Alligator mississippiensis: one gene and its partners. The protein of the gene in region 1 interacts with the protein of each later gene in a pairwise test. Links are inferred from orthologs where the notes say so. Each region holds a gene or a part of one and is shown on either strand. Other genes may lie near its edges. The genes, in order: FHL2, SP2, JUP and CCDC92.

Region 1 (7,260 bases):
CAGTATGTTTTGAAATATAGATTTTTGTTCTTTCCATATTTATGCAGTTGATAGAAAACATGCAAAGATGGTCACCCCACTTTTTAAAAAACTGGGAAGTATGTCAAATATGCAGTCAGGCCTCCTGGACCTAATCAGCATTATATGACGAACTGACATTGTTGAAATTGCCCTGGATTTATCAGCATGAAACTGAACTTGCCATGGTATAAAGCTAGAGATAAAATATTGCAGCCAGTAAAAAGTAATCCAAGTTGAAAAAACTCTCTTGCAGGTAGTTAAGATACAAGCTGCCTGTGAGTAGACATTTTTTAGTTAGCCCTCCAAAAAGAAAATTGATGTGGAAAAATCCTGTACTGTTATAAAACTACACAAACTCAGTGTCATTTAAAATAAAAGGGAAAGGGAATATCTTGGCCTCCTTGAAATCAATGGAAGTTTGGGGCAAAATTCAAAAAACAGGGACAAGATTTCACTCAAAGTATGTGTTCATATTCCTTTCCCTCTCTGAGTTTTCTTCCTTAGAAACAGCCTTTTAGACTTTCTGTGTAAAACAGCCATTTTAATGGATCTACTTCTCTAAGCTTATTGGCAATTTCTATCAAAGGTTTTTCTTGTTCTGATGTTTTGATATTTTGAAGGGAAAAATAAAGTTATTTATCTATTTAATCGTATTTTTCAAATGCTGGTTGTTAATAAAGAACTGTTGTTAGTTTTAAAATTGAGTGGTTTTGGTCTTTTTCAAATTTGACTTTTAAATTCAATGCAGCAAAGAGTACTGCTTTAAAAAATATATTCCTGCATTACACTGGCATTTTTTCCAAGGTAAAATAAAATGTAAACTAATTTTTGGCCTAACATTTACAGAAAGCATCTGTAAAATGAAACACCTAATTCCTTCCCACAGATGCCTTCTCAGTTTTTAAAGGAGAATAAAAAAATCTCAACATAGTGTCCATATACAAAGCTGAGGAATAGGTTGGTTTAATTTAATAGTAGGCTACTGGAAGAAACAAGAAGGAAATGGACAATGGCTCCAAGTAAGACACCTAGTAATGACTTCAGGTCCATAAAGATATGAAGCAGTGCTTTTAGGTATAAAGATGCTACTTCTAGACACCAGCCAAATTAAAAATATATTTTGCAAATTCTGGGAGCCAAAAGGACTGAAGGAATATAAGGATTTGAAACAGAGAGTCTCTAGCTAGAAGGGGAACAATAACTATTGAAAAACAGACTGATGCATACTGACAGCCTCTGGGAGAGCTGAAGACATTAACCTTTCCTAGGAATCCACCAGGGATGGTAATTCTTTACATAAAACAGACATGTTTGTGCACTGCTGCTTGTTTTCAAACTCCTTTTACTCTTGTATTATGCAATATTCCTCCTGTTAGGATTAAACAAGATTTGGCTTAAAAAGGTCATCTGGTCACCGATTCACAAATAACTGCTCAACTTGCACCCTTTTAGACCTCCTGAGTAAGCATGGTGGGCGTTGAATTAAAACCTGGTGTAAAAGTAGAAGAACTGCATAGTTCCACCCTATGGGAGATAAAGGCACAAGACCCAACACCTGCATGTGTGTGCGCTCAGCAAGAAGAGACAGAGGTGCTGCTGGCACTATGCCATGACAGCTGGCTCTAAAACTTTCACGCTTAGGGGCAATATCCTCAGTGGGTGACAGTTTGCACCTGCTGAGGATTTGTCTCCAGGTGTCTAAAGTTAGGTACCTGAATCCACATTTAGAAACTGAACTCAATCCAAATCTGTTGGAGCCAGCTGAAGCATTCCAGCAGACTTCACTAGGCTTTCAGACTCTCAGGGCCTGTCTGTACTGCCTTAGGACCACAACAGGGAGCATCGCAGTTACCCATACCACTGTGCTCTGCGCATGTTACGTGCCAAAACTGATGTCATAGTGCTGCATGAAGGTGGCTACATTACATCTGATTTGTGATGCAGCATATGGAGAAGAGATATGGCTCTCTCTTCCACGTTCCCCAAAAAGGGTGGAAAACAGCATTCCGACCTATGTTTGGAAAAGTAGAAAATGTTCATTTCAGTCCCATAATATTAGTATAATAAATAACCTTAGACACAGTGTGAAAGTATTGGCTTTAATCCTCATCTATGCAAGAAATTTCATGATTCTTTCCCACTTTGGGGGAGTTTTGAGGTATTTGCTTAGAATCCTTCTAACATAGACACCATATCAAGTGAGCACAAATTCCATCCAAACTATCTTATTTTCCCAAAGAGGTTTTCTTTTATTAGGCTTCATTTGAAAATCTTCACTCTGAGATCAGGTTAAAAATAATTCATTTAACTGATAGTAGTTGCCTGCAAGTTCTGGCTAATGCTATTTCACATACTGGTTATGAAGAATTCCTGCTTTCACACTGCATAACATATCAGTACTTTTTCTTCTTTTGCACAGCTGCCATAATCCATAATAAATAGTTGTTTAAACATGACATCAGTAAATGTCATCTGTACTTTCTTTCTCCCAAGGCCATCAGGAAATGGTGTCAAGGAGAAATAGCTGAATAGCAATATGTTTCATCTTTCTTTTGTTTCTGTATGCACATTCTGTTTCCAAATATTCATCAGTAAAGGAGAAAAAGCTAATAGAGGAAAAAAAAAAACTAATCAAAAGCTTTCTGTCTGAAGTCACTCGCTTTCCTGTTCATACCCAGAGTCCAGGGAAGTGATTATAGTTATACATGGTTGTATTCTCTGAGAATGTGAAAACATGACAGTATATTATTAGTGCAGAGGCATAAGGAACAGCTGTTACTTAGTGTTTGGCTTCCAGCATTAGGCTGGAACTATAAAGTGAAATGCTACATCTATAGGAAGAGATGAACAAATCACTAAGAATGCCATCTTCTGTAGATCTGTATGTAGAGCATTTTGGAAGTCTGCCTCTCAAAATGAGGCAGAAAGGGGAGTAAAAACAATGATTTGTGCTTACCTTGCTGCAGCTTGGTGGTGCCTCTGCTCTCTGGTCTGAGAATGAGAGGACAGGACAAGTGCAGAAGCTTATTGCTTTATTAGATTACTCAAACTATGTATTTAGCAATTAGACAGGCATTGGTTTACAGATGAGCTATAAATACAATATCTCCAAAGGACCAGCCATCCAAAGGAGATAAGAACCATAGCACCTCTGTTCTGCTAGCCTTTTAAGGAATCATACCTAAAGTAGCACAAGATCTGTAATGGAAATGAGCTGCACTGCTCTTAGCAACCACAGACCTTTGTTCTGTTTAATCTGAGGATGCCTGAGCTTTATATATACTTGCCCACCCTGTGCAGTACTATGGCATCATCAAGGCATTACCTTCACTACTGCTCCTGTTCTATTATAACTAACTGAACAATAACAGATCTTCATTTTAAGTTCATTTTCATGTATCGAGTGAGAACTTCAATTTTACTAAAAACACCTAAGAAGTTTCTGTGGATGTGATGTTAGACTGAGGTTTAAGATGATGCAGCACTACAGAAGTATATGTATTGATGGGTTTCCAGGGACTTAGCAGGATGTAATGGGGCACCAAATGCACTTAGGCTCCTAATAGGAGGAATAAGATCTGGTGCTAAGTGGCTTTGTCCAAGGTCACACAAGTTTGTGGCATTTGAACTGAACCTGGATCTCCCAAATTCCAGGCTACAGGCTTAACTTCTAGACCATTCTTCCGCTTTGATGACACTGTTACATCAGCACATAGGAAGGAACATACATTTAAGGAACTTTAGCATGAAGTCAGAGACGTTACAAATGGAAGCCTCTGACTGCATGCCATATTGATCCTAATTGTACATAAGCACAGCCCTGAAGTCATCCAGAGACTGGCTGACATCAGTGGAAGATCTGTCTGGACTACTCTTGGCCATCATCAGTTATAGCATATCCTATTTGTCATTATAGGGTTGTTCATTGCAGTTTAGCTACATTACTGTTGGGATACTGCAGTTGCTCCAGATTGGGAGTTGGCTTCCCACAGTAAACCTGAAATTTGGAACCTCACCCTAACTTTCCTAAAGAGACATGAACCCTCTTCAGATCTCACATGCATCTCATTATCCCAGGGCTCTCCTTTTTTGCTAAGTTTAGAAATATCAAAACGAGTATGCAAAGTGTGGGTGCTTAAAGAAATACCCACTTGCTGACTTCTTGGATGTGGTGCTAGCCATCTCACTCTCCAATGAAACTGATTTTCAATCTACATAGTTTTACAGAGGAGCAATGCCCCTTAAAATTCTTTTGAGGGAACAGGGGGTATTATAATGAAATGTAATTTAGGAAAGGTTTGTGATGGGAAATCAAGCACACACACTAAGGTAGTCAGGGAAGGGATAAAGTATGAGGCTAAAGGGGAGGAAGACAAAGTTCCCTTTCTATCATTTCCAGCCCATGGAGGAAATGGGATCAGGAAACTCCCAGAAATAGTACTCTGACTCTCTTCCTATGCTGCTCAGAAGAGATTTTATAAATAAGAGCTGTCCTTTCTTTTTTTCTTAGACTCCAGCAAGCTGTTCTTTGTTTGCTCAGTTTTATTGTTGGCTGTTTTTCCAGGCACTGTGATGGATACCCCGTATTCTTGCACACCAGATTTCAAGTATATCTTAAAGTGGCAGGAGGCAATATTTATTTCTTTTTTGGTTTTCCATGTTCTTGTTACCTGCAGTTATTCCTAATGTTAACGCAGCAAAATGAACAAATTGAGTGAAATTGGCCACTGGAAACTGAGTTCAGTGACTGTCTCAGTAGAATTTCCCAAAATAAATGTTTTCAAAGCTATTCTCTCCTTTATTTTCCAAACTCCAAAGAACATCACTCCCAAACGGACATCTTTTTTGTTTCTCTCTCACAGGTCTTACTCAATGTTGGCATGCATACAGACTTTAAGTATGCATAATTTCTTTTTCTGAACCATATGCACTTTTGTGTTTTTAGCTTCACAGAAAAATAAATTTTGCTCTGGACTTTTCCCTGGGATATCTTCCCAGATTGGATGATGGTAAAGACTCAAATGACAAATAATATAGATAGTGGAAATGGCCAGCAGCAAGTATTTCAGGGTAACTCAAAAAATGGGCCAGGTGTTCTGAAATCTTGACTGTAAGGTCACTAATGAATAATGTTGTCTCAATTTGTGCTTGGGGCAGAGCCATTACAGAAGGTGTGGTTGTGGCCCCCAAACCAATTAGGACTTGACATTTTGAGAATTCATAGTAGCACAGAACATCCCTAGATGGTTCACAGGCAGAACAAATTGTCAGTTGAATGAAGTTTGATAAAACAGCTGATGACATAGCTCTGGCTGATGGGAGTTGTCTGTATGAATCCCCAATCTCCAGACATCATGGCAGTGTGCCTGATCTGATAGATTAGATTAGGGAGCTTGGAGAAATATCTCATAATTTTTTTATGAAAATATTCTTTCTTACAGAGTTAGCATGTCACATGTGTCTGTAGCTATTGTGTAAACTGTCTTTTCTCATTTCTCAGAACAAAATCCAATTAAATAAGATAAGTAGTTTAAAACTAAATGTCACGGGTTGGGGTCCCCAGGGTTGGCTGTGATGCCCCTGGCAGCTCCGCAACTGTGCCAGCTCTGCCCTAAGGGTGCCCAAGTCTTGCCTCCCCTGCCATGTCTTGATGGTAAAATAATGAATCAGGAGGCTGCCCACAGGCTTGTGGTTGGCCCTGGTCCACTGAACTCCACAAGAACTCACTGGTCCTTGGGCCCTTTGCAGGACCTCACTCTAGTACTGTGCTGCACAGGGCACCTCAAGCCTTATGTGCTAAGTGTGTGACTCTAATCCTTCCCTATACCATGCTCCATGTCTGTTTTGCTTAGCACTATTTTGCTATAATGCTATAATGCATTAATGCTATAATGTTCATTTTAAAATTGATACCTGATTCCACTTAGTGTTCAGTGAGTTTATTATAATGCTCATGGTTGCCATCTTGGGTCACTAAAAACACATGCAGTCATCATCTGGGGCCGTTAAAAACTTTTGGTTTCACTTAATGCTCATTTTGCTTAATGCTTGGTTTCTCAGGAACCAATTAACAGCACCAAGCAGGGTGTAACAGGGAACCCTAGTCCGGTTACTAAGAGGCAGGGCTGCCTTTTTAAGACCTGAGTCTACAGGAACACCAAGCACCAGGAGGGTAGGGGTTAATAGTCCAAAAACCCAGGCCAGTCAGCTCACAGGAAGGGGATAGGCCTCTGGGCACATATAAACCCCAGGGCCAAGGCTGGCAGGAGGAGGTCTCTGGCAAGTGGCCAGGGGAAGAGAGCTCCTGCACGGCAGAACTACCCAGGAACTCTGTGGCTGCTGGCCAGACTGTTGCTGTGGCTAATGAGGCTCCAGGCATCTACAAGGTACCCAGAGCTGGAGGGTGCTAAACACACGAGGAGCAGTTTGGGGTTTTTAAGGAGCCAGAGTGTGGCTTGTATGACTTGTATTATGTTATAGCTCAGGGGCTCATATTTATGTTATTGTTTTATCCAGTGGCTGAGGCTATTTGGGAAAGAGAAGGCCTCATTGGGGCACACTACTGTGCAAAGCCCCTGTGCTGGGGGGGTGGGGGGAGGAGGGGTGCAGTGACAGGGGATGATCAGACCCCCAGTACCAGGGGGTGCAGTGACAGGTGGCAGACCCCAGTGCCAAGAGGCACAACGACAGGGAGTGAGCCGACCCAACTCCCTAGGGCATAGGTCAACATTTATAAACCATCTGCAAGATGTGGGCCACCATGTAGGGAAGGTTTGGAGCAGCAACCCCTAGCATTGGTGTAGGAAATGGGCAGCCTCCCACCTGAGTAACATCATACTTATTGTTCCATCAAGGCATGGCTGGTGAGATAGGTGGCTGGGTAGCCCAGGGAGAGAGGGTCAGGTCTACAGGCCCGGGGATGGACACCGGTCACACAGGGGTTTTCTGTAGTCCTTAACCTGTTCTTTCACCACTGTTGGCTGCTGCCAGGTTCAGTAGTTTGGAAGCTGACCTTGCCTGTGAATACAGGTAAAAAAGCCACTGAGAATCTCAGACTTTTCTGCATCATCATCAATAGGCTGCCTCCTCCATTCAGTAAAGGACCCACATGTAGGTCAGCAACAAGAGGAAGATCATGGAACATGTAGAAACCATTCTTGTTACTCTTCACATCCCTTGCTCTCTCTGTGGTCCCCAAAGCTCCAGTTGTGCTTTGGCCTTCCTGATTTCATTCCTGCA
Region 2 (7,359 bases), on another chromosome or scaffold:
CAGGTTTAGATACCTTCACTTTTAAGGGAACTCCTCCATGACTGGCCACAGGAGCAGCAGCAGGTGGGGGCAGCTGGTGAGACCCTTGGGAAGGGTCAGGAAAGAAAAGGCTGAGCTGTTAAAGGAGGACTGGCCAAGCCCAGTATGAGCAGGTGCAACTCCATTGACTCTGATGGGTTTACACCAGCTGTAAACCAGTGCCCTAGATGGGGGGTCCTCACTGCTACAAACTGGAGCTTATAAGGCAGTAATGCAGCTGGATTACGGTTGGACCATCTCACCCTCCTCACCCTAGCACTGCCACTCACAGGGTAGGCAACAGCTCTGCCTGAAACCACATTGAGTAGAGGATGTTCCTTCACTGAGGAGGGTGAAGGGTGGATCTCGGAGGGGGAGCAGAGCCCTCCATCAAGCCATGGAAGTCCCCTCCAGTCCCCAGCTCCAGGAGCCTCCCTTGAGGGTAAGCTGTTTTTAACGAGCTGTTCCCAAGCCATTGTTGTGTGATTCTCCCCTTTCGCCCCAGACGTGTCACGGCAGGTCCTGCAAGAGGGAAGGGCATTAGCTGCTTCAGGTCCTGATTGATGTTCCTTCCAAACAACCTCCCTTGTGCCAAAAGTTGTAGCAGCACAAAATACAGGGAGGCCAAAAGGTTTCTGGAGTGTGGAAGCTTCCATGGCCCGAGAGAGGGAGAGAGAGAGAAAGAAAGAGAGAGAGAGGAGTGAAACCACCTCAGGGCAGAAGCCAGCTTCTGTGATCTGCCCAGGCAGGGTGGCATGGAACAAATGGGAAGTTGTGAAAGGATCAGCAGGGTCATTTCATCTGTATGTGTACCTGGGTAGGGAAAGAAAAGAGGTGAGGGTGGGGGGTGATAGGTGAAGGAGGGTGACAAGGGAATGGTAGGGGAGGGCTGAGATGAGAACACCTGCCTTTTCTGCAAGCTAAGCCTGACTCGCAAATCCCCAGCTTTGGATTCTGACCCCTCTCCTCTGTGCAGGGGAAGGGATGTATTAAGATCTGGAGCCTGTGGCCAAGGACATGTATGAAGGAGACATCCCTCCACCCATTGCTTTGCTGGGGCCCCTTTTTGCTGCCCATCAGCACAGTCCCCCAACTGAGATCCTTCAAGTAAGAATGATGCCCTCCCATCCAGCCTCGCCCTTACCCACCCTCCAGGATCCAGTCTGGAGACCAGCCCCAAAGCTTCACTCTATTGGATCAGAGGGTGGACCCTCCCTGAAATTCCCCCTCCACCACCCCCATTGGAGGGAGAGGCCACCCACCCCACCTACCGCATCGTGACAGGTTCCTTTTTCCCCAATAGAATAAATAGCCACTTTCTCGGAGGGGACAGCCATGTACAACCAGTCCCATGTACAACCAGCTGGAAGGTAAGGCAGCAGGTAGGGAGCACCCCTCACATGGCACCAGAGCAGGGCAGGGACGTCTTGGTGAGGGCAGGGGCTCAGTTGGGCTGGGTGAGGGTGCTGGAGCTTCCGGCATCGGGCTCTCGCTTCCCTTTCCCTGGAAGGTCTGCCCCACCCTTCCCCTCTCCTTCTGCCCCCTCCTTGGTGCCTTCATGTGTCTTCATATGTTTGCTGAGGTGGTCACTCCTCATGAAGACCCGGCTGCACACGGGGCAGGTGAACTTCTTGGTGCCTGTGTGGGTCTGGAGGTGTCTCTGGAGCTCATCAGACCGGGTGAAGCGCTTGCCGCAGAAAAGCCAGTTGCAGACAAAGGGGCGGTCCCCACTGTGCCACCTCAGGTGGGCCTTCAGGTGGGACGTCTTGGCATAAGCCTTGCCACATCCAGGAATGTGGCAGTTGTGAAGGTGCTTCTTCTTGGCACTGTCTGGGCACGGTCCTACCCTCTCAGCTTCCTGGCAGTTTGGGCAGCGGCACACAGCCTGACCAGAGCTCCGTGGCATGGATCGTCTCGAGCTCTTCGGCCTAGCAGTGCTGTCCATGGCCTGCTCAAGAACATGGGGATCCTGCGGAGATTCAAGCTGTTTGACCCCTTCCTGGCCCATCAGGTGCTGGGCAGAGGGCAAAAGGTGGTGAGGCGGACCGCAGAGCTGGTGCTCGGTGGAGCCATAGCCCCCCAGTGCTGGCTGGAGTCCCCCCGTGTGGCCTGGCGCTTGGAGGCCACCTTGACCATGTTGAAGGTCCATCCAGCTGGATCCAGCATGAAGGTCCCACCAGGGGTTCACACTGCTGTCCTCAGCAGCATTGCTGGGGTGTGAGGGCCTGAACCAGGGCTCGTAGTGGTGAGCCATTTCAGGAGGTGTCTGCAGGAGCTTGGAGTAAGAGCTGGGAGCCAGCGGGTTGTCACTGTCCAAGTCTATCCGTGAAGAGCCATGCAGGTCATAGCTAGGGGTGGCCGAGAACTCTACGTCAGGGACCACCAAGGGCAGGTGTGGGAGCTCTGGGGGCTGGAGAGAGGAAAAGTCACCTCCTGCCTCGGAGCTGGCGTGAGGCTGGTAAGTCTGCAGTGGCTGCAGGTCCAGGTGGGTGGGGGAGGCACAAGGTGTGTCCGAGTGCTGATTGCCAAGAGAGCCACAGACAGCTGTTAGCATTGCCGGACTCCAAAGCAGCAAGGCAGCCCAGACAGACCTGGAGGGAGGAGACAAATACTGTGAGAACCTCACACGTTTCCCTTCCTTCAATATTAAACCAGTGCCTTCTTTCCTTGGAACGGACCAAAGTTCCCCTTTCCCCCTGGGTCCCAGAGATGAGTTGGAGCCACAGAGTTCACATCAAGACCACTTGTTCATCAGAGGGCTGAGATACTATGGAGTCCCTCTCTGCCCAGAGCACCTTCCAAGGCACAAGGAGTCAAATGCATGCCTAACCTTGCTCTCGTGAATTCAGCAGATCTATTCCAGGGACAAATTTTGCCTGGAAGTGCTCCTGTCTTACATCAACTGCACTGAAGAGGCACAGACTGTGCTGCAGTAACAATACTTAGCTCTCTCACAGCTCTTTTCATCCATAAATCTCCAAGCACTTTACAAAAAGGAATTCCTGGTCATTATCCCGATGTTACAGGTGGGGAAAATGAAGCAGAGCACTTATGTGACTTACCCAAAGTCTCCCAAGTCCTAGCCCATTTGGTCACCCACCTTCCTTGCTATCCTGCCCCACTGGGCTAACTGCGGGGAGTCAATGTCATCAGGTCAGGAGAACATGGTGACACCCCACCAGCTGCCCTTAACTGGTTGGATGCAGCTCTCAATCCCTTAATATACATGGGGCTTACTTCCTATAGCGGGGTCTCCTGAAAGAGGAGAACCAGCTTATGCCAATAGATCAGCCCTCTCTCCCTGTTAACAGCATGAACTACTGTCTCAGGCCTTGGCTGTCCTGGGGTAGCACCTAGAAACTGTTGTCACTGGTTTCATGGGCCAGCCAAGCAGCCAGGATGGCTCGGAAGGTATTTTAGAGGCTCCTACAAAGTCAGGGGTAGGCTGTTCTGTGGAAGGGGGATTTAAATATAGTTTATTCTCCCTTCCTAAAAGGCGTTTGGAGACAGGCCCCTCTAATAGGCAGCTTCTGGGAAGTAGATTACAGTAATTACAGTCTCCTCATCTCTGTGGCTGGATGTGACTTGAGCTGCTCTGATCTGGGCCTGGGGTGGCAGGGGTGTGGGGAGACCTGGCTGGGTATTTATAGCCTTGTTCTCATGGCTCTGAAAAGGGCTCTGGAACAGATCAGCATCATTTAGCAGCACCTCAGGCCTAGCCCCATGGGAGCAGCATGTAGGCATTGGCTGGTCAAGGGTGATCAACCCTAGGAGATGGCCCACAGTAGCATTTTGTCCCTGGGATTGGCCCATGCACAATGTACCAAAGCAGGCCAAGCTTTGTTTCCAATCCCCAACTCCATTGGGCCCCTGGCTGGTCAGACAACACTGTAAATGAAAGGGAGGTGCAAGGCACTTCACACTGTCATTACGGTGACTGTGTGCAAGCACAGCCACTGCTTGGGACACAACAGCTGGTACCTCTAGCATCTCCTGGTATAAACTAGGCCAGCATCCTTTCAGTGGTAAAATCTGTGGTCATTGATTGCCATGGGAGTTGGGCACTGACACAGGAATTAGATACCCAAGTGCCTTTGAGGATATGACACCAGTGTCTTAGGCAGGGCCAGCCTTATGGGTGAGTGATATGGGCAACCCCCAAGGGTGCCATGGTCAAGGGGATGCCACACACACACACCCCCCACCTCTGCCTCCTTGCTAGACTGTGCCCCATGCCCCTGCCCGCCTGCCTCTGCCTCTCCCCCTACCTGCAGCACTGGAGGAGGTGGTGGTGGAAGTTGGCCAGCAGCGGGGTTCGGCAATGATGAGGAAACGCCACTACCCGCTGGACTGGGCAACGCAAGTGGGCTGTGAGCAGTGCCCACCACCCCTCAACCGTGACTGGCTCTACAGGTCCTATGGCTCTGCAGGCCAGCAGCACCTGCATCTCATGTTCCTGCTGCTCATTATCATGGGCATCTGCCTGGCACTGCTCACCTTCTTTGCCTCAGGACTGGTGAAAAATGAGTCTCCCCTCACCCTTCTCCCCCTGCCTTGCTTGGCCACCACCAGGGCATGCCTTGGGGAAGCAAGACTCCTGATCCAGCCCAGCAGCGCCCCTCGGACTTTTATCTCTGAAATTTCACTAATACTACTACATTCTTAAACTCAAAGAAAGGGCACCAAAATACAAGATTGCCTAGGGCTCCATTTTCCCTAAGGCTGGTCCTGGAAGCCATCATGGCATTTCACCTTTCTCTACCACTTGTAAGGAAACCACCATGCAACTTTCTGCCAGAACTGCTGTAAGCCCACAGACATGCAACATCTAGGTGCAGCCTGCAATACAATATGCAGGGCCGGGATGCTGATCCTAGGGTGCAGCCTCCTCCCTGTCCCCCCTGTTCCTTGTGACAACTAATGCCATAGTGTGTAAACACAGCACCTCCTGGTAGGAGACACCATGTGTAGTTCAACTTTTCTCTGTTGCCCGTGGCATGGTGGCACCTTATTCTTCTCTTGCCAATGCAGGTGTAGATCAGCAGCATTCCAGCGGCATGAACAAGGACCAGGTCCTTGGGCAAGGGCACAGCTCTCTCCAATAGCAAAGAGCTGGCTCTCATTACACTCCTATCCAAGCACCTCAGATCTTTAATACATTCAGACCCAGTGGGGTAGGGAAGGGCTGTTATCCCATTTTACGGGTCAGGAACTGAGGCACAGAGAGGCTAAGTATCTCACCTAAGGTCATACAGCGAATTTGTGGCAGAAAAAGGAACTGACCCCAGGTCTCCCAAGCCCCAGGCTAATACCTGGATCATCCTTCCTCCTATTGTCTCCACTCAGACCCTTCCTAGAGGAGAATGAGGCAGAGTGGTGGCTTTCACTCCCATAGGAGATGTTCTATACTGTACTTTGTCTGTGCTGCTACCCCAGAGACACAGGACTGGGCATCTGGTTGCCTTGGGAGGTCTGTAGAGGCAGGGCAGAGGTTTGGAATTGTCTGACACCAGCACTCAACACCATCACGAACCAATGAACCCTGCTCCCTTCCCACAGATCCCTGTGACCCTCCTTGTTTCCCTCTCTGCAGCAGCTCCAGCATAGGGGCCTGCTCTGCTATAGCAGCATTACTATGAAATACAATATGGCATGAACAAACCCAAAAGACACACTGTCGATTACACAGCTGGTTCTGAGCAGCTAGGCTTGGACCAACAGGGCAGCATGAGGTCTTCACAACAACTCCAGGGTAACAGATGAGGCAGATACTGGCATGGGGAACTTAGGGGGCTAATTGAATGCTCTGCACATCTGGTGCAGCCATTTGATGCATCTTTTCTCTAGGCCCTGCTGGATTTTTACTTTGTTTTGTAGGCCCTAGGATGCCAGGACCAGAGTAACCACCAGGGACAAAGCAAAAATCCCAGGCAGCCCAGAGGCCATTTCTAGCCACCCCAAAGCACCCTCATCGCCCCAGCATATACAAGGCCAGCTCCCTTCAGCAGCTCACCTTGGTTCAGTTTTACTGCCCCTAGCCCTGCTCTACTTTGCTTTGCAGAGGCTGAGATTGGGGTGCAGGGCCTCGGCTATACATGATGGGATCCCCATTCCTTTCCCAGGAGCCTGTGACTCATGCTGCCGAGCTGTGGAAACCCTGTTGGCAGGGCGCCCCACCCCAATGTTGAAATCCACCTGCCAGGACTGGCTCCCCTGCCCTCAACTTCCCATCCCTCCTCTTTGGGGTTCAGCTCCGGCACCACTTTAGTGGCCATCTCCATCCAGCCCATGTGTCTGGATACCGCCTGCATCTAGATGCCCCATACCCAGCCTGGCAGCTCTCAGTTCAGCTGCCTCCACATCCACCCCTGGGCCCTCTGCTAAGTCACATTTCTGCTGTAGAGAGGGAGGGTTTTCCCCCCTTCTGTTGCTGCACACAGACAGGGGAAACCAAAGAACAGGTCACCTCATACACAGCATTAAACACACTGGATCCCCAAGCAGCCCTCTTGAGCATCTGATATCACAACAGCAGGCAGCAGCTTTTAGACAGGGTATGGATTTTGAGCTGATGGCCATCTTTCCCATCCTGCTAATGACCACTCACAACCAAATAGTCCAGCACTGTACAAGAATGACCCAACACCAAAACCATTTCCCCAGCACCCAAAGCAACACAGGTCAGCAACCAAGGGAAAGAACAAGTTCTGTCCACTTTATTTGCTCCTCAACCCTGGCCTGCAACCTCTTCCCCAGCCCCACTGTGCCCTGCATTGTGATGGAAGTGTGGGATCAAAGATAAGCACTACTCTTGACATCATAAAATAGGAGCATGGGAGGCAGAGGAAGCCGACAGTGCTGAAACAGGGGGAAATTGGCATTAGAGGGTGTCTCAGGGAGAGGATGAATGCAAAGGAGGTGTCAGTTTGCCTTGACCTCCAGGTAGACCAACATCTAGAACAGAGACCCAGGTGTGAACAAGTCCAGAAAAGACATAGTGACATTAAAACCGTGGACCTCCACAGAGCCAATGGGAGGTCCTGGTTCCATGATTAAAGGTTGGCACCCACAAAGCCCATCAGAGAGGAAGACCAGCGGGTTTTAATGAAATATCTGAGAGGTCTGACAGCACTGAGATGGGGAGCTGGGAAAGACCAGTGGTGCTGGCAGGATATGGGCAGAAAGGGAGTTCACAGCAGGGATGAGGAATAAAGTCCTGGACTAGGAGCAAGGGGACATCATCAGCTCAAAATCCATGCCCTGTCTAAAAGCTGCTGCCTGTTGTTGTGATATCAGATGCCCAAGTGGGCTGCTTGGGAATCAGGCACCCTGGCCATAAGG
Region 3 (7,246 bases), on another chromosome or scaffold:
AATAAATAGCCGTTTGCATTCAGATGGTTCAGGGCAGAGAAAGACCCCAGAAATAAACAGCAGGTTTTTCAGCATATCTAATCTCCATCATGAAAATGCCTGTCCAGAGGTGGAGCGGGGGGGGGGGGGGGGAGGCATCTTTATATACAGACACTCAGCAGGAACACCAACAATAACAGATTTCCTAGAGAGCTGGATGGTATTGTGAAAGGACATTCGACTCTCCTTAATTTCTACCCAAGAAAATGGTCAGCATTAGGAGGTCTCTTCTTTTATAACATGCCTGTACTTTCTGCAGATGAGGTCCAGTGCCTGCCAGGCTTCACTAACGACATCCACTTGTAAGTGACTGACAATGGCAACCTTGATTGAGAATCCCAAGTATTTTACAGCTTTACCCGCCCCCCAGCTCAAGATGTCCACTGCCCACCACTTCCGAAAGCCCAGATGCTACGGCTGTTGAGGGCATTAGAATGGATCCCAGCCCAAAAAGGAAAGTCCAAAGAGTGCTACATATCAAGCCACTTCACATCAGAACAACTGCCTTAGGCCTTTGAAACCTGTTCCTGGGATCTCCATTTGGATATTTCGTACAGTGCCATGCACATCGCCTACAGTCTTTTGCATAGCTGTTATTCTTCAGCGTAACTTAAAATATACCCTCCCTACTGAGAGCAGCCTACACTAGGGCACTGACACAAAAAAAAAATTTACTAGAAGCACTGGCAGAGAGCATCTTTTCAAGCTCCTCATACAAGAGCTTTTTTTTTCCTAGGCAACTCCCAGCAACACTCCAGAACTATCCTTTCATCTGTGCTATAAAGCTGATTAATTAAGCTAATCATTTAGCTAATGCAATTAGAGCACCCTCTCCTCTCCCAGTGTCAAGGCTAAGACAGCAAGGGAGTATTCTCCCCCCCCCCCCCCCAAAAGCCCTGCAGCGTAGCAGACAGCACACTTCTAATTTTACCGCACGAATTCCTTCTCCAGACTCCATTCCTCAGCTTTTTAACCTGAACTCGGAAAATAGAGGTTGCAGCATATTTCATATCTTCCTTACACACTTGACTGACTTCCACACCAGCAGCACTAACTCCCTCTTGTTTTAAGGCAGTTTGTGGTACTCTGACAGACACCCAAAAGCCAATGTGTTCTCATTTTCTCTCTCTCACATGCTTCTCCAACATCCTGTGGAGTGCAGCAAATAGGACAAAGCTCAAAGAGGAGCAAAAAAACTTGGCTCCGAGGAGTCTGACAGACGCTGGGCAATGCCCTCCCCTTCTCCCTGGAAGGAGCACAGAGAACAAGGAGGCACAAGCTGCCAAAACCCCAGAAGCAACACTGAGCTGCTGACTATGTGGCAAACAATCCTGACACATCCTTGCACAACTCAAGTGTCTATGCCCAACAAGCTGCAAGACCAGACACCTCAGTACTCTGCAAGTTTCCAGCAGTTCCTTCCCAAGACCTCCAAGCGCTTCTGAAACCTCAAAAGTTAAGCCTGACAAAACTACGCGGTAGCACTTCAGGATTCTCACTGCACAGCTCAGGGTAGTGTTGACAGATAGGCCCAAAGCGACTCTGGCAAGGTCAAACTGGGAGCTCCACAATGAATCCATGCACAGAGCCTGCATCTCCAGTTCCCAGGCCTTTGCTTTCACCATCCTTCATCCTGTCAAGCCAGCAGGATTGGTGCCATAATAGCAGTCAATGATATAACCCAAGGTTAGGGCTGCTGAAAGGAAGGGGAAGAGAAACCTATCAGTGGATTCTAATGGAGGGAAACCGAAACAGCAAATGCTCCCGAATACACACATAATCACTGTACTTACTGGTGTGTATTGCAAAAAGCCACGCAATCACATACCACTTTTTCCAAGCAAACCCAGAAAGCACCATGCTGCGATTGTTTTATAATGACCCAATACCATACAGCAGCATCAGAAACCAGACATTCTCCGATACCTAGATTATAAGCAGCTGCACTACAATCTCTTCCTGAAAGCCGCTCATGTGTTGATCTTCTGCCCTGTCAATTATACAGAGGAATGGTTTTAAGTGCTTGGTGCTCATGCCTTGGAAAGAAATTGCCATCTTATGTCAGCATATGGAGAGCTATGTCTGAACACTATTAGACTCTTCCTCCCAAAACAGTCAGTGAAACAGCAGTTGTACTGTCACGGAAAGGCCAGCCAAGTAAGCAAACTTGCTCCTCAAAGAATCTGCAGCCGGAAAAGAGCAACAAAACAGGAAAGCCCCATTATGCGCTTTACAAAAAGGAACATTTGAAGGACCAGCTGAAGTGAATTTGGAGAGGATCTCGCTCAGTGATTTCTGTCATTTGCACCGATCAAGGCTAAATCAAGCTACCTCACTTGTTCCCACGATTTCCCAAATTAGCAAACAGCAAATGAAAAGCTGAGAAGTCAAGCTGCCAGAGCCAAGAAAAACCCAGTTTACACCACTCATCCTTAATAAGCAGCGGAGTCCTTCCGCTGGTTGTACTGCATGCACTGGGTCACGGGGCCCACGTGCTACTCAAGACAGATAAGAGCCTTCCAACTCTCAAGATCCCATCAGGATCCAATTTCTCCTTGCAACACAACTTCTAGCAGGAAGCTCAGCTGTAGCCTCGCACATGCCACGTTCAAAGGGGCCGGGGGGGGGGGAGAGCAGAAACCAAGGCCATTTGCAAATGCTACTGTATCAAGGGGTCGGATGCCAGAGTTGTATTAATGTTATGCCTACAAGTTTGCTTGCAGCCCTTAACTGCCGCGCCGTTGGTCAAAGACACACTAACAGCACCACACACAGCACACACACGTACGTCGATATACCAGCTCAGCGTATGCTCCTTCCCCAGGCGGCGGCACGAGTCCACGGGATCGACCCTCCTGGACGGCTGGCAGCTGACGGTCCCTGCAAGCAGGTGCGCACCTGTTACCCGGCCGCCGGCCACGCGGCGACGGAAAGGGGCCAGGCCGGGAGCGCAAGGCGCCTGCCCCGGCCCCTCCCGGGGGCACAGCTCGGGGCCGGCCCCTCGTCCCCGGCGGGATGCCCCCGGGGAGCCGAGCTCAGAGCCCCGCAGCCAGGGCTGGGCAGAGCCGCGCTCCCCGCGCCAGGGCAGAGGGTGCAAGGGGGGCGCCGCCGGGCGGGCACCGGCACCGGGACCCAGGGGCGGGCGGGGTAGGGGTGAGGCTGAGCCCGGGGACCCGGCTCCAGGGAGGGACACGGCGCTGCTCGGCCGCGGCCGCACTCACCTGCGCGCCCCGCGCTGCGCTCTGCCCGGCCACTGCCCGCGGCCGCCGCCTCCGCGAACAAAAGGCAGCCGAACCCTGAGCCCGCAGCCCGGCCCCGCCCTCCCCGCCCGTCCCCATGGACACTCGCCCCGCCCACTCACCGCCGCCCGCTCATTGGCGCGGCTCGCGCTCCGTCATGCCCGCAGGGGTGGGGTTCCGTTACCACCCGGTCTGTGTTGACCGGCGGCCCATTGGCCGAGGCGCGTTCCGCTGGGGTGGGGGGGGGGGGGCAGGCGGGGCCGTGATTGGCTGGGAGGGTTCGGAACGGGAGTCGAGGGGATGAGTGAGCCAGGTGGGCTGGGGAGGGCGTGGCGCGGGGGAAACCCACGTGGGTGACGTCATGCAGGTGAGGGCGGGGCTGAAGGCTGAGCGGGGCTGGGGTGGATCAGGGCCGGGGGGAGGGCCATACAGCTGCCCTCCAGCCCCCTCCCCGGCCCTGTGTCCCAGGAGCCTCCTTCCGCGGCCCCGATCCCTGCCACGGCCACAGCGCGGTTCCCACCGCGCCGCATTCTGTTCCCCCACCTACTAATGACCACGGTGGGCCCCTGCCCATGGGCAAGGGGAGACCGGCTGTAGGAACAGGTGGGCGTTAGGGCTCGGAGAGGGATCTGACACCATGGGCAGCTCCCTGCTCCCCCGGGCACCCTCAGCAATGTCTGCCCCTGGTTGGGTTGATGGGCCAAGCCACGTCCAATGGCCACACGTTCAAACACCTCCTCTGGCTCCATGCTCATTGCAGGAGCACCTTGCAAAGCACCTTCCTCCTTCTGCAAGCCCTGGGTGCAAGCACAGCAGGTCCTTCTCTGCTCCCCTCCCTTCATCTAGACGTGGCCACCTTTCTCCCGGCTCCCACTCTGATGGCAGCCTGCTCCTCATGTCTGCACCAGCCCAATTCCTCCCCATTTGTCTTTTAGCCTCCTATGAAAGCATTGGTTTCTCCCTTGCACGCCCCCTCAACACAGCGCAAACCCAGACAGGACTGGCTCTGCAAACAATGTGACAGAAGAGAAATTGAAAGAGCGAGTCACTTCTACACGCTAGCATCACGAGTCCGGAGGAAAGGCGAAAAAAAAACATATTTTCTCCAATGATCAGGAATGATAAAGGACTTCCTATTAAAAAGCAATGAGGAAAAGCTGTGCGTGACCCGAGGGGAGAGGAACGAGATGGTAGGAGTTGTGTCTCGCTATGTAGCAACCTGCCACCCTTTCATGGGCAATAGTGACAAATGGACAGGAAAAGAAAAAAACCCAGTGGTAGTGCGAAGCCGTCGCCAGGGACACATGCAAGCAGGGACCAATACCTCAGGGTTCCATCTCAGTCGCTCTTTGATAATCCTTTGTCTGGCTCGAAACAGCAATAAAGTATCTTGAATGTGAAATATCTTGGGAACCAAATTATTTCCTTCTCAGAACTGTTTGCTGAGATACGGCGCTGTATGAAAGACTCGGTATTTCAACAGTGGTAAAATGCATCACGTTAAGAGGTGGTAGGAAGGGGAAACAGTAGGACAATGTTTATAGGCAGATCTAGGAATTTGAAAAGGAGGTGCAGGAAATGCCGCTGGTGCCACAACAGACTTTGAAGGCCCCCCCACCCCACCACAGACAATGCCAGGTAGCAGCTGCTGAGGACTTTTTTAAGTTCACAAAGCAGGTAAGACCCCCTCCCCCCCAACTCTCAGCACCCGCTTCCTTCCCCTCCCATTCACCTCTCCAGCAGGGGTTGCCTCTGGGTGCAAAAAATGGGGACCCACCCACTGCCGCCATTGTTCCCTGCTATCGCAGGAGCAGGGGATACTCCAGAGCTGCTCCTGCCCCACTCCACTGGGCGGCTTTGGTAAGTGGCAGCATCAGGCTTGGCCAGGGATAATGACAACATATGGGTCCCTGCTTCCAGTGCTTGCTCCCAGATTGTGGGGGACACCTGGGGAACTAACAAGGAGCAGGAGCACCTGGAAGTCCACTGTCAGTGCTGTCCTCAACTAACCTGGAGGCAGGTGAAGGCCCAGGATTGCTCCTTCTCTCCCATGGTCTGGAAGCAGGTGCTGGACAGGGCAGAACATCTACTGATACCACCGTCCTGCAATGTGCCTGGCCCTCTGTGCATGTGCTCCCCACAGCTGGAGCCCCTGGCCAGCGGGGGAAATGCAATGGATGGGGAGGGAGCAGGAACTCCTCTCTGTCACTGCCACTGACCCAGCAGCCCATTCAGCCAGTCCCTGCAGCCCTTGGCTGGATGGAGCAGGATAGGAGCAGTCCTGTGGCTTCCACCACTCCCTGGTCAGCTACAGACAACGGCTGCAGTGGGCAGGCCCCCCATCACTCAGCTGCTCCCTGATTTATCCCCCTGGGTGTCTCACTCCAGCCCAGGGCTCCAGCCATGTCTTGGACACGGCAGGAGACCCAAGCACAGGGAGATGTCACACTGGTGCATGACATTTACTGTGGAATGGGCATGCAACCATGCCACTGCACCCCCCATAGATCTATCCCTGACAATGGTACAGTGCAGAAAAATGGCAGCACGCCGATTGGGTTTCACAGGTTTGGGGTTCAAACTGGGAGTCAGGAGCCTGCCTTCTATTCCTTGATCTGTCATTGATTCCTCAAGGGACTCAGGCAGGTCACTTCAGCCACAAAATTTCCCCAATGTCAGTCTCTGATTTCAGGCACATCAATTTCTGGGTGCTCAGATCATTGCCCTGATTTTCACAGGAGTTGCATAATCACCTTGGAAAAAGCAGGCCAAGGAGTCTTAAGTTGAACACCCACAATCCCTGGACACTTTTGAAAATATTGTCCCTAAATACCCACATTCGCTTCTTCTTCTTCTTCCCTGCTCAAATGAGGATAATGAGACTCACCTCCCTTCCGGCAAAGGGGGAGGATTTATTCATTACTGCTGGAATGTGCTTTGCGATCCTCCCACAGAAGGTGTTACTAGGAACACAAAGCGTTCTATTTTCCATTTTTAATTATCAGAGGCCTTCTGGCTGCCTCATATTTGCAAAGAGCTTTGAAAGCTTCAGATGAAAGCTGCCAGAGCAGAGCCAAATATGACTGTGGCATTACTCATGGCTTGCACAGTTTGGAAACAAACATGTGCACAGCAGATATCATCAGGTGCTTTTACAGACAAGACGACCAGCCCAGGCAAGGCATGGCCCTGCACAGCAACTTAGGTGAGGCACCTGTGTCTTTCTCCACACAGAGAGTTTCAAGACAATGCATTTGGGTCCCAGTGTAACCAAGCACTTGTTCCTGGAAGCTAGGAGTGTTCTGGCAGGAAGCATGTGGCCTGACTACAAGGTGTAAGGACTGCTACCCTTGGATAGCTTCACAAACCACAGAACCAGTAGGCAAAGTGGCTGCCACCATTGTCCTGTCTCTTTCCATTTCCATTCAGGTTTGCATTTTCCTGTGATTTGTACATTACACATTCTTCCCAGCCACCCCCATTCTGGGAAAGCAGGGATGGAGGGGTCTACCTGTCTAGCAGGATTATCCCCCACCCCCAGAAAGAACATGCTTGAAACCAGCTGCCAATTTCAGCCTCAATGGGCTTTGCTCCGGTTTCACAGTGGTGGCACAGAGATGGAGCCCTGCAGTCACCTGCCTCCTGCACCTCCCTTACTGCCATCCGTGCCCATTCCTTATCTCTTCTTACACCTTGGCTGGTTGCAGCGAAATGATCTTCCTGGCACAATCTTCCCTCCCCCCATCCTTACAATATCTCTGCTCACCTGTCAGTTATCACCTTGGTGGGACTCTGGGCTCTGTATTCATATTTTCCTCTGCCTGTAGAAGGAAATTTTATTAACCCCTTCTCACTCTGCTTTCAATCAAATCCACATCCTGAGTACAAGCAAGCAGCCTTGCACGTGAAACCTGTTGCAATCATTGCTGCCCCTAAGACATTGCTGAGAATTTATTAAGAGGGGAAAA
Region 4 (7,213 bases), on another chromosome or scaffold:
GCAGCAGTCAAACCTTGCAAATCTACCTGTGAGAGGAGTTTCTAGATCCTGACAGCCCAATCATAGGGTGCAGAGCAGAGGGGAGCACGCAGCAGCTCAGGGAGAGGCCAGGCAACACAGCAACCGATAGGGTAGGCAGCAGAAAGCAGGGCAGCATAGCTTGTGTTGCACTTAGAGTCAGAAAGCTCATGCTGCCCTTGGGAGCAGAAAGCAGAGCAGCAGATCAGGCAGGGAACAGGATTGGAGTGGCAGTCAGGGAAGGTGTAGAGTTCATCTGTAGCATATCTGCCCCCTCAGCACTTCAAATGCCATCCTCAACTGGACGAGAACAGACTCCGCACTGTAGCTGGGCCAAGCTGGGCTCCAGACTTCGGTTTCTCGCCTGTAGATAGAAGGTCAGATCTGGATTCTGCACCCTGCAGCCTCCGGGACATGCTTCCTGGTGCAGCTTTGGGGTGAGATACTGCCAGCCTCCCAAGTTTGGGAGTTCAGTTTGAGGCCGTCGCTGGCAGAAGTCCAGCTTGGTATGCAAAGAGCAACGGGCTGGAAATAGCAGTACTTTGCACTCACTTCCTACAGCGCAGCCTCTTTGAGGATTTCAAACAGCCAAGGAGATCCTATGGATGATACTTCACAACACCCTAAGAGATGACAGAGAAGTTCCCATTTTAGACATGGGAAAACTAGGCACCGGGAGGTTAAGATAATCCTTAGAGATCGTTCAGCAACAGCCCCTTTGGATGTGCAGCTCCCCTGTCATTTTGATAGGGAGGCAAAAGAAAACCCCTACAACTTGAAATGTCAGCATTCAAAAACTGAAAAAAAAGAGTGTTAACTTTCCTCCTAACTTTTCAGCTGCCTGCAGAGCTGGTTGAAACTATTCAAACTGAAACATCTGAAACATCAGGGGGCAGGAACTGAAAAAAAAAATCATAAAAATGTCACATTTTATTTTTAAATGTTTCTAACCCAAATGTGTCTGTGTTGAAAGCTCCCTTCCAGTTTCCAAGGGGATTTGTCTTACCTCAGTTACAATGATGCATTTTTTTTAAGTGACATGTCAGGTTCAAAGGCTTAACTGATGTGATGATGCCTGCTTTCATTCAAACCCCATTGTAGGGTTTTTTCCACCTCCTCCTTTTGTGCTCCATTATTAAGGAGTCACGCTGAATTTAACAACATGCCTGCATTTGCTTCCAGGAGACTTCAGAAGTCAGATACATTTGTCTTTCGGCAAGAGTCCTGTGCGACTCGGTTTCTAGGACACACAAATGGGCCCTAAATGAAGAGTCCAGCCTGCTCTGTCATGGTATTTGCAGCAAGCTGGTTTAAAAGGTCCAAGGGAAAATGGAAAAAGAAGTGGGATCCAACTGACAGGGCAGAAGACTGGTACAGGACGCTGCAGTCAACTCTTACCTCTGCCACTGGCTCACCGCAGGACCTCAGGCAAGTCACTTCAACTCCCTGAGTCTGAGCTTCCCTTTGATTTAGCAGTCCCCAAACTGTGGTGCACAGACCACTGCTGGCCCCCAAAGCCACGGTGAGTTGTCCCCAGCTCGACCGGAGATTGCATTGCTACCCCTTCTTTCCATTACCAGGTTGAGGACAAGGGTGCACGGTGGTCCACAAAACCTGTGGGCACCTCTTGACCTGTGCTAAATCGGAGGCGACAGTAACGCTTCGGAAGGATGAATCAGCTGCTATTTCTGAAGTGCTTTGAAGATGAAAATTGCTAGAGGAGCGATTGCTATGATGATTAGTGCCCCAATGGCAAAGCTGTTGTGGTTCGCTGAGGCACACAAGGGCCAAACTAAGGTATTTAGGTGCCTAACATGCTGATAGGTCCCAATGGGATTTTCAAAAGCCTCTACAGGAACTCCCAGGGGAACCCGTCACAAGTAACAGAGAATTATACCTGTCCTTCACAGCTCGCAGCTCCTCCAGATTTGCAGTGATTGCTGACCAAGGGCATTTAAAAATATGCCAAGTAGGACCAATACACAGGCCAGGTCAAGGGACTGGTGAATTTGGTCCCGAGAGAAAAAATCTGAGAAGGGGTGGAGTAAAGCATTGGGGTTTGCCAGCCCTGGGAGGATGTCACTTTGGGCAGTGAAGAGGCACACGCAGGGAAAGACTGCAGGCGCATCCAGCTTCTTCTATAGGTGCCTCCTACCATAGCATCTGAGCATCCATACAGTGAGACGGTTTCTCTCTTTCCAGCCTGATTAGGATTAGCGTTGTGTGCGGCTGTATGTGCACTATGGGAAAACTCAATAGAAGAAACGAGTTTAGCTCTTTGATACAGCAAGGTCTGTGGTCGTCCTTTTCTATCATGGGAGTGAGTCCCAAGGTCTAGACAGGGATTCGGTGACACGTCTGTCTCCTGCGTGCACAGGACTCTCCCTGCTGGCAGATCGCTGAACGGTCCCAGGGAAATGCAACAGAGAATAATTCTGGAGCGATGTTGCAGGCTGCGATGGTCCACAGAATAGGCAAGAAGCAAGGTTTGTTTGGGAGTATCGTTCACTGGATCGTGATTCCAGCGGGAGGGCTGGTTCCTCAGGTCGCCAGGGTGAATCTGGTCAAGAGCTTGCACTGTCCAGATAGCAAGTGAGCGTGGGTTCACAAAAGCTCATGCTCTCTATATATCTTATTTAGTTAGTTTGTAAAGTTGCATATCTACCCTGCCTTCTCACTGACTGCAGACTACCACAGCTAACTACCTTTCTCCGCAACTCTGCACTCTTTGCTCCATAGGTTTACTGTATCTTCCTCTTCTTTAAGTGGCTATTTTCAGTTACATCATGGAATTAAAAGTCACTGTGTTCCCTGACGTTAAGCTTGGGCTATGTCTTAAGAAGCCAGGTACAGCCCAAGACCTGAGACAGGGCATTTCAGGAAGCCCCAAAAGCTCGTCTAACATCTCTGCCAGCTATATCATTAATCCAATAAATGCTATTACCAAACAAGGTGCTTCAGTGCAGAAGTTCAGTGCTGTGCTGCTGTGTTGGGAACAGCCAGGGTCACTTATATGGGTGGATGCATTTTGCATTAGGTAGAATTGTATCAGGGCATGTCAGCATTGTTCCAGGACAGGAAAAGAGTTGCAGGAACCGATACAGAGGTGCGAGACATGGGGATCACCACGACCAAATGTGTCTGACATACAATAACCAGCTCCCTTTTAGGCAAAGCAGAGTCAGTAACACAGCAAGGTCTGCTAGCATTTACCTGTCACAGATATTGTATAAAGCTAGTTTTTAAGTACTTGCTACCAATGGCTTACAAAAGCCAAAGTACTGTACATTTATACTCTTACTTTCATCAACCAAACGTCTCATCGAAGAATGAAACCGGGTTTCTTCGATGAGATGAGTTTCCCGTAAAACCGTGTTGACTGGCGTTATGTTCCCACGTGCTCTCAGCCGACTCCTGCCTCAAGTTCACTATAACTTTGTCAGGGATTGATGTCAGGCTGAGACACCCCTTTGCCCTTATTGAATGCCTGTTCGACATTAGCGCCATGCCAGTCTTCTGGGATACGCTGTACTGTAGGATTCGTTAAAAACTACCGTTGGTGTGACAGAGATCTCCTCCCAAACTCTTTGAAGATTCATGGTTACAATGCCTCTTGCCCTGCTGATTTCAAAATATGTATCCCAACTCGATGTCGCCTACCACCCGTCTCAGTTACTATTGTGCTGGAAAATATTTCATCACTTGTGTGTGGAATGGTACATCAGCCTGCTTCTTCCCAAACACAGCAGAGCATTGGGTCAATACCTCTATCTTTTCTGAAAAATGAACAACAATATGCTCATCTCCACGAGTAGTGGACCAAGACCGCTACTTTAATTCCAAATATTCCTTAGAAATCCCCTTTCTTTACTTGCCTCTACTATCAGGGAAAAACATCTGTCCTATATTTAGCTTCCTTTATCAATGTTATATGCGCTCCGTAGCTTATCATTCGTATCAAGATATATTGCTAGTTCTATGTATTTCCTTCTTTCTCCGCTTGTTTCTAGGTGAGTTTTTTTTATTTCTAAGCGCAGTCTTCAAATCATCGTTGACTTTGGATGGGCTTGTAACGAGAGACATCCTCTTTGAGGATCGCGGAAATGCATCCAGGTAAGAACTCCTCATTTTCATTCATGTTTTTCCGTCCAAATGTTTCCTTCCAGGCAATCGGGCTCAAACGTTTCCTCTCCTTTTTATAAGCACAGAGGGTGTGGGCTTCCACCCAACGCGAGCAGGTCAAGTTCATGGGTTAATAGGCAGCCACTTCCTTCCCATGAATTCCTCTTCAGTCATGCTAATGGGGACCACCACTGAGTTGCCTTATGCTGGGTTTAATATCTTGTGTGTTACAAAATGATCGCTGGTAACAAAGCGCTAGTGATGTTACGTGACAAATCCGACCTGCGGCTCCGAACCCTGCGTCCCAGAACCACGGGGGTTTAGGTTAGATATTAGGGAAAACTTTCTCACGAGGAGGGTCATAAAACACTGGAACAGGCTGCCCACAGAGGTGGTGCGGTCTCCATCCTTGGAGGTTTTCAAGACCGGGACAGACAAAGCCTTGGCTGGGATGATGGAGCTGGAGCTGGTCCTGTGTTGAGCAGGGGGCCGGGCTAGATGTGACCCCCGAGGCCCCTTCCACCCTCATCTTCTGTGATCTATAACCAGGCTCTCGTTAGTTGGGCGGCGCTGCTGGCTGTAGGTCCCTGCCACGTGTTACATACATGACATGCTGTTACATGCATGACGCGCAGCATGTTACATGACGCGCTGCCCATCACATACATCAGTCACGGCGCATTACACGTGGTGCACTGCACGTTACATACAGGGCACCGCATGTTACATGATGCGCTGCACCGTACATACTGACACTGCACATTACGTGACACACTGCACATTACATGCGTGGCACCGCACGTTACACGACGCGCTGCAAGCGAGAGCGGCGCCCAGGGAGCGGAGGGGCCGCCAGCACAGCGCCGCGCGCCGGGCTGCTGTCGCGGGACAGCCCCGTCTCCCACGTGGGCCCAGCCCGCCCTGTGGCAGAGCACGTGACCGGGGAAGGGCAGGGTGGGGCGCCGCGCAGGCCCCGCCCCCAACGGCCGCAGGGCGGGGCCGGGCGCGCGGCGCAGCTGGTGACCTCGTCGCCACGGCAACGCCGCTGCGGTGGCTGCCGCCGCACCTGCGCTCTGCGCCTGCGCCGCCGCTGCCGCCGCCCGCCCGGCCCGGGCACGGTGAGTGGTGGGGGTGGCTCCGCACTGCGGGGGCCAAGGGCGGGGGCTTCCCGGCACCACCCGGCCCCGGCCCCGGCCCCGGCCCCGGCCCCACTCCGCAGGAGGGGAGGGGAGGGGAGGTGGACAGCTGCCGCCGCCGCCGGGCCTGAAATTGCTCCTCGCTGCTGGGGCGGCCGCGGGAGACCTGGGCTCGGCCCCCAGCCCGTAAAGGTTGGGCCCTCAAATACTGGGGGGTTCGCCCCCCACACACTCCTATTTTTGCATCAAAATAGTGCCATTTTCGCCCCCAAAACTGTGGTTTTAACCCCAAAATACCGCAGTTTAAGCTCCCAAAATACTGTGGCTTCAACCCACAAAACCTGGGGGGTTAGCCTCTGAAATACTCCAATTTTAGCACCAAAACACAGTGCTTTTAGCCCCCAAACTGTGGTTTTAGCCCCAAAATACTGCAGCTTCAACCCACGAAAACGGGGGGGAGGGGCTAGCCCCTAAAATCCTGGGGGTTTAGGCCCCAAAATCTTGCCGCTTCAATCCACAATAGCTGAGGGGTTAGCCCCCCCCCCCAAACTGGGGGTCAGCCCCCCCAAATACTCCCGTTTTAGCCCCCCCGATCATGCGGGTTTCTGTGGCGCCATCGGGCCCAGCCCGTGGTCCCTGCGCTGCGCGGGGCGGGTCGCGGGACCGCGGGGGTCTGGGGGCTTCGGCCGCTGCGAGCCGGTCGACCTGCCTCGCATGCTGCCGTTTGCCGCTGGCTCGCTTGCTTTCTCCGGACTTGGGAAAGCTGGCGGCAAACGGCCCCTGGGAAATTTTGAAGGCAGCTGTCAGACGGTACGTCGGGGTTGTTTGCCCCACGTCGACATTGCTGTTGTACGCGCCCGACACGCGCGTGTGCGTGTGCATGGACAGGCGTGTGTATACATGTGGATAATACAGAACGTTGAAGGACGTTTCATTTTGCATCACGAACGTGAGACGATTTAGTAGCTCCGTGTTTGTTCGCGGGGGTGGGTAAAGTTCGGACACGTTCGTCTTCCTGAATCTGTTTGAAAAAGTGACGCTGTCGATTCGCTTGTCAATGACACATGGTGGCGTTTTCGGTATATGATATCTCGCTGTAAGATCAGTGACCCGGCAGCTTAATGTTGACGCTTTAAGGGACCGTTCTGGCATCGCCAGGTCGGAGACTCTCTGATTTCCCATCGGTGAAGTTAAGCCGGATTTAGGAGTTGAAGGGGGCGGTTGGAGGTCTGAGAAGAAGGAAGGAGCTGGGTCTGGGAGGGAAGTTTTAGAGGAGCTGAAGTAATTGAGGTCTGGCTGTCATATTTAAGCTTGCTATGTCTGTTTTACTGCAACGTACAAAAAGGTGCTTGTTCCACATCATTATTCTTACTGCATCGCATAAGCACATAGGTGTCTTGCAAACATTAGACACCTTTTGTAGACTCTGCCCTGCTTTAGGTGCTGGGAACGTATTATGATAAGCGAATACGACGAGCACAAGCAATATCGTTAGACTACGAAGTGCAGCAGCTCTGGCAATGTCGTTGAAAACGGTGGTGCTGAATGATGCAGCCTCAGAGCATGGGTGGAGTTAAAGTGGGGAGGCTGCCCTTTGTTTGGAGAAGAAATCTTATCATTCAGGCTGCAGAATCAGGACTCCATTGATTTCCTTTGCATCTGGAGGATGCCATCTGAGCTGTCGTCTGATCGTGTCTTGTGTCTTCATCTGGCATAATATTCTAAAGAGCAAAATCAGGTGAATGATTTATTTGCTTCTCTTGAATTTTTTTTGTTCTGCTATTTTGCTCTTGCATCCAATGTCAGGCTCTCGGAGCGGCTTTGCCTCCATTTGCAGGAACCTGCACTCCTCTCTAATGAACCCACAGCTGACTACAGATGCCGAGGCATTGGTTACTGCATGGTATTAAAACTGTTCCCCTCCCCGGCAAGAGGAG

The links.
Region 2: the proteins of FHL2 (region 1) and SP2 interact in binary tests that used the Homo sapiens proteins (3 or more experiments, as listed by UniProt). The two-hybrid records come from large-scale screens. The link is inferred for Alligator mississippiensis from reciprocal best matches to the Homo sapiens genes FHL2 and SP2.
Region 3: the proteins of FHL2 (region 1) and JUP interact in binary tests that used the Homo sapiens proteins (3 or more experiments, as listed by UniProt). The two-hybrid records come from large-scale screens. The link is inferred for Alligator mississippiensis from reciprocal best matches to the Homo sapiens genes FHL2 and JUP.
Region 4: the proteins of FHL2 (region 1) and CCDC92 interact in binary tests that used the Homo sapiens proteins (3 or more experiments, as listed by UniProt). The two-hybrid records come from large-scale screens. The link is inferred for Alligator mississippiensis from reciprocal best matches to the Homo sapiens genes FHL2 and CCDC92.

The regions. Positions count from the first base shown.
Region 1 is NC_081824.1:347,635,383-347,642,642, forward strand, and holds the start of FHL2 (four and a half LIM domains protein 2), read right to left. Parts: upstream 3,076-7,260; 5' UTR 2,978-3,075; intron 1-2,977. UniProt on the Homo sapiens protein: May function as a molecular transmitter linking various signaling pathways to transcriptional regulation. Negatively regulates the transcriptional repressor E4F1 and may function in cell growth.
Region 2 is NC_081827.1:167,528,225-167,535,583, forward strand, and holds the start of SP2 (transcription factor Sp2), read left to right. Parts: upstream 1-4,339; coding exon 4,340-4,545; intron 4,546-7,359. Other genes in the region: transcription factor Sp6, read right to left, coding at 1,463-2,572. UniProt on the Homo sapiens protein: Binds to GC box promoters elements and selectively activates mRNA synthesis from genes that contain functional recognition sites.
Region 3 is NC_081827.1:163,145,596-163,152,841, reverse strand, and holds the start of JUP (junction plakoglobin), read right to left. Parts: upstream 3,355-7,246; 5' UTR 3,261-3,354; intron 2,920-3,260; 5' UTR 2,838-2,919; exon of another isoform or gene 2,828-2,837; intron 1-2,827. UniProt on the Homo sapiens protein: Common junctional plaque protein. The membrane-associated plaques are architectural elements in an important strategic position to influence the arrangement and function of both the cytoskeleton and the cells within the tissue.
Region 4 is NC_081833.1:6,110,124-6,117,336, reverse strand, and holds the start of CCDC92 (coiled-coil domain-containing protein 92), read left to right. Parts: upstream 1-4,026; 5' UTR 4,027-4,121; coding exon 4,122-4,131; intron 4,132-5,155; exon of another isoform or gene 5,156-5,258; intron 5,259-5,410; exon of another isoform or gene 5,411-5,468; intron 5,469-6,569; exon of another isoform or gene 6,570-7,014; intron 7,015-7,213.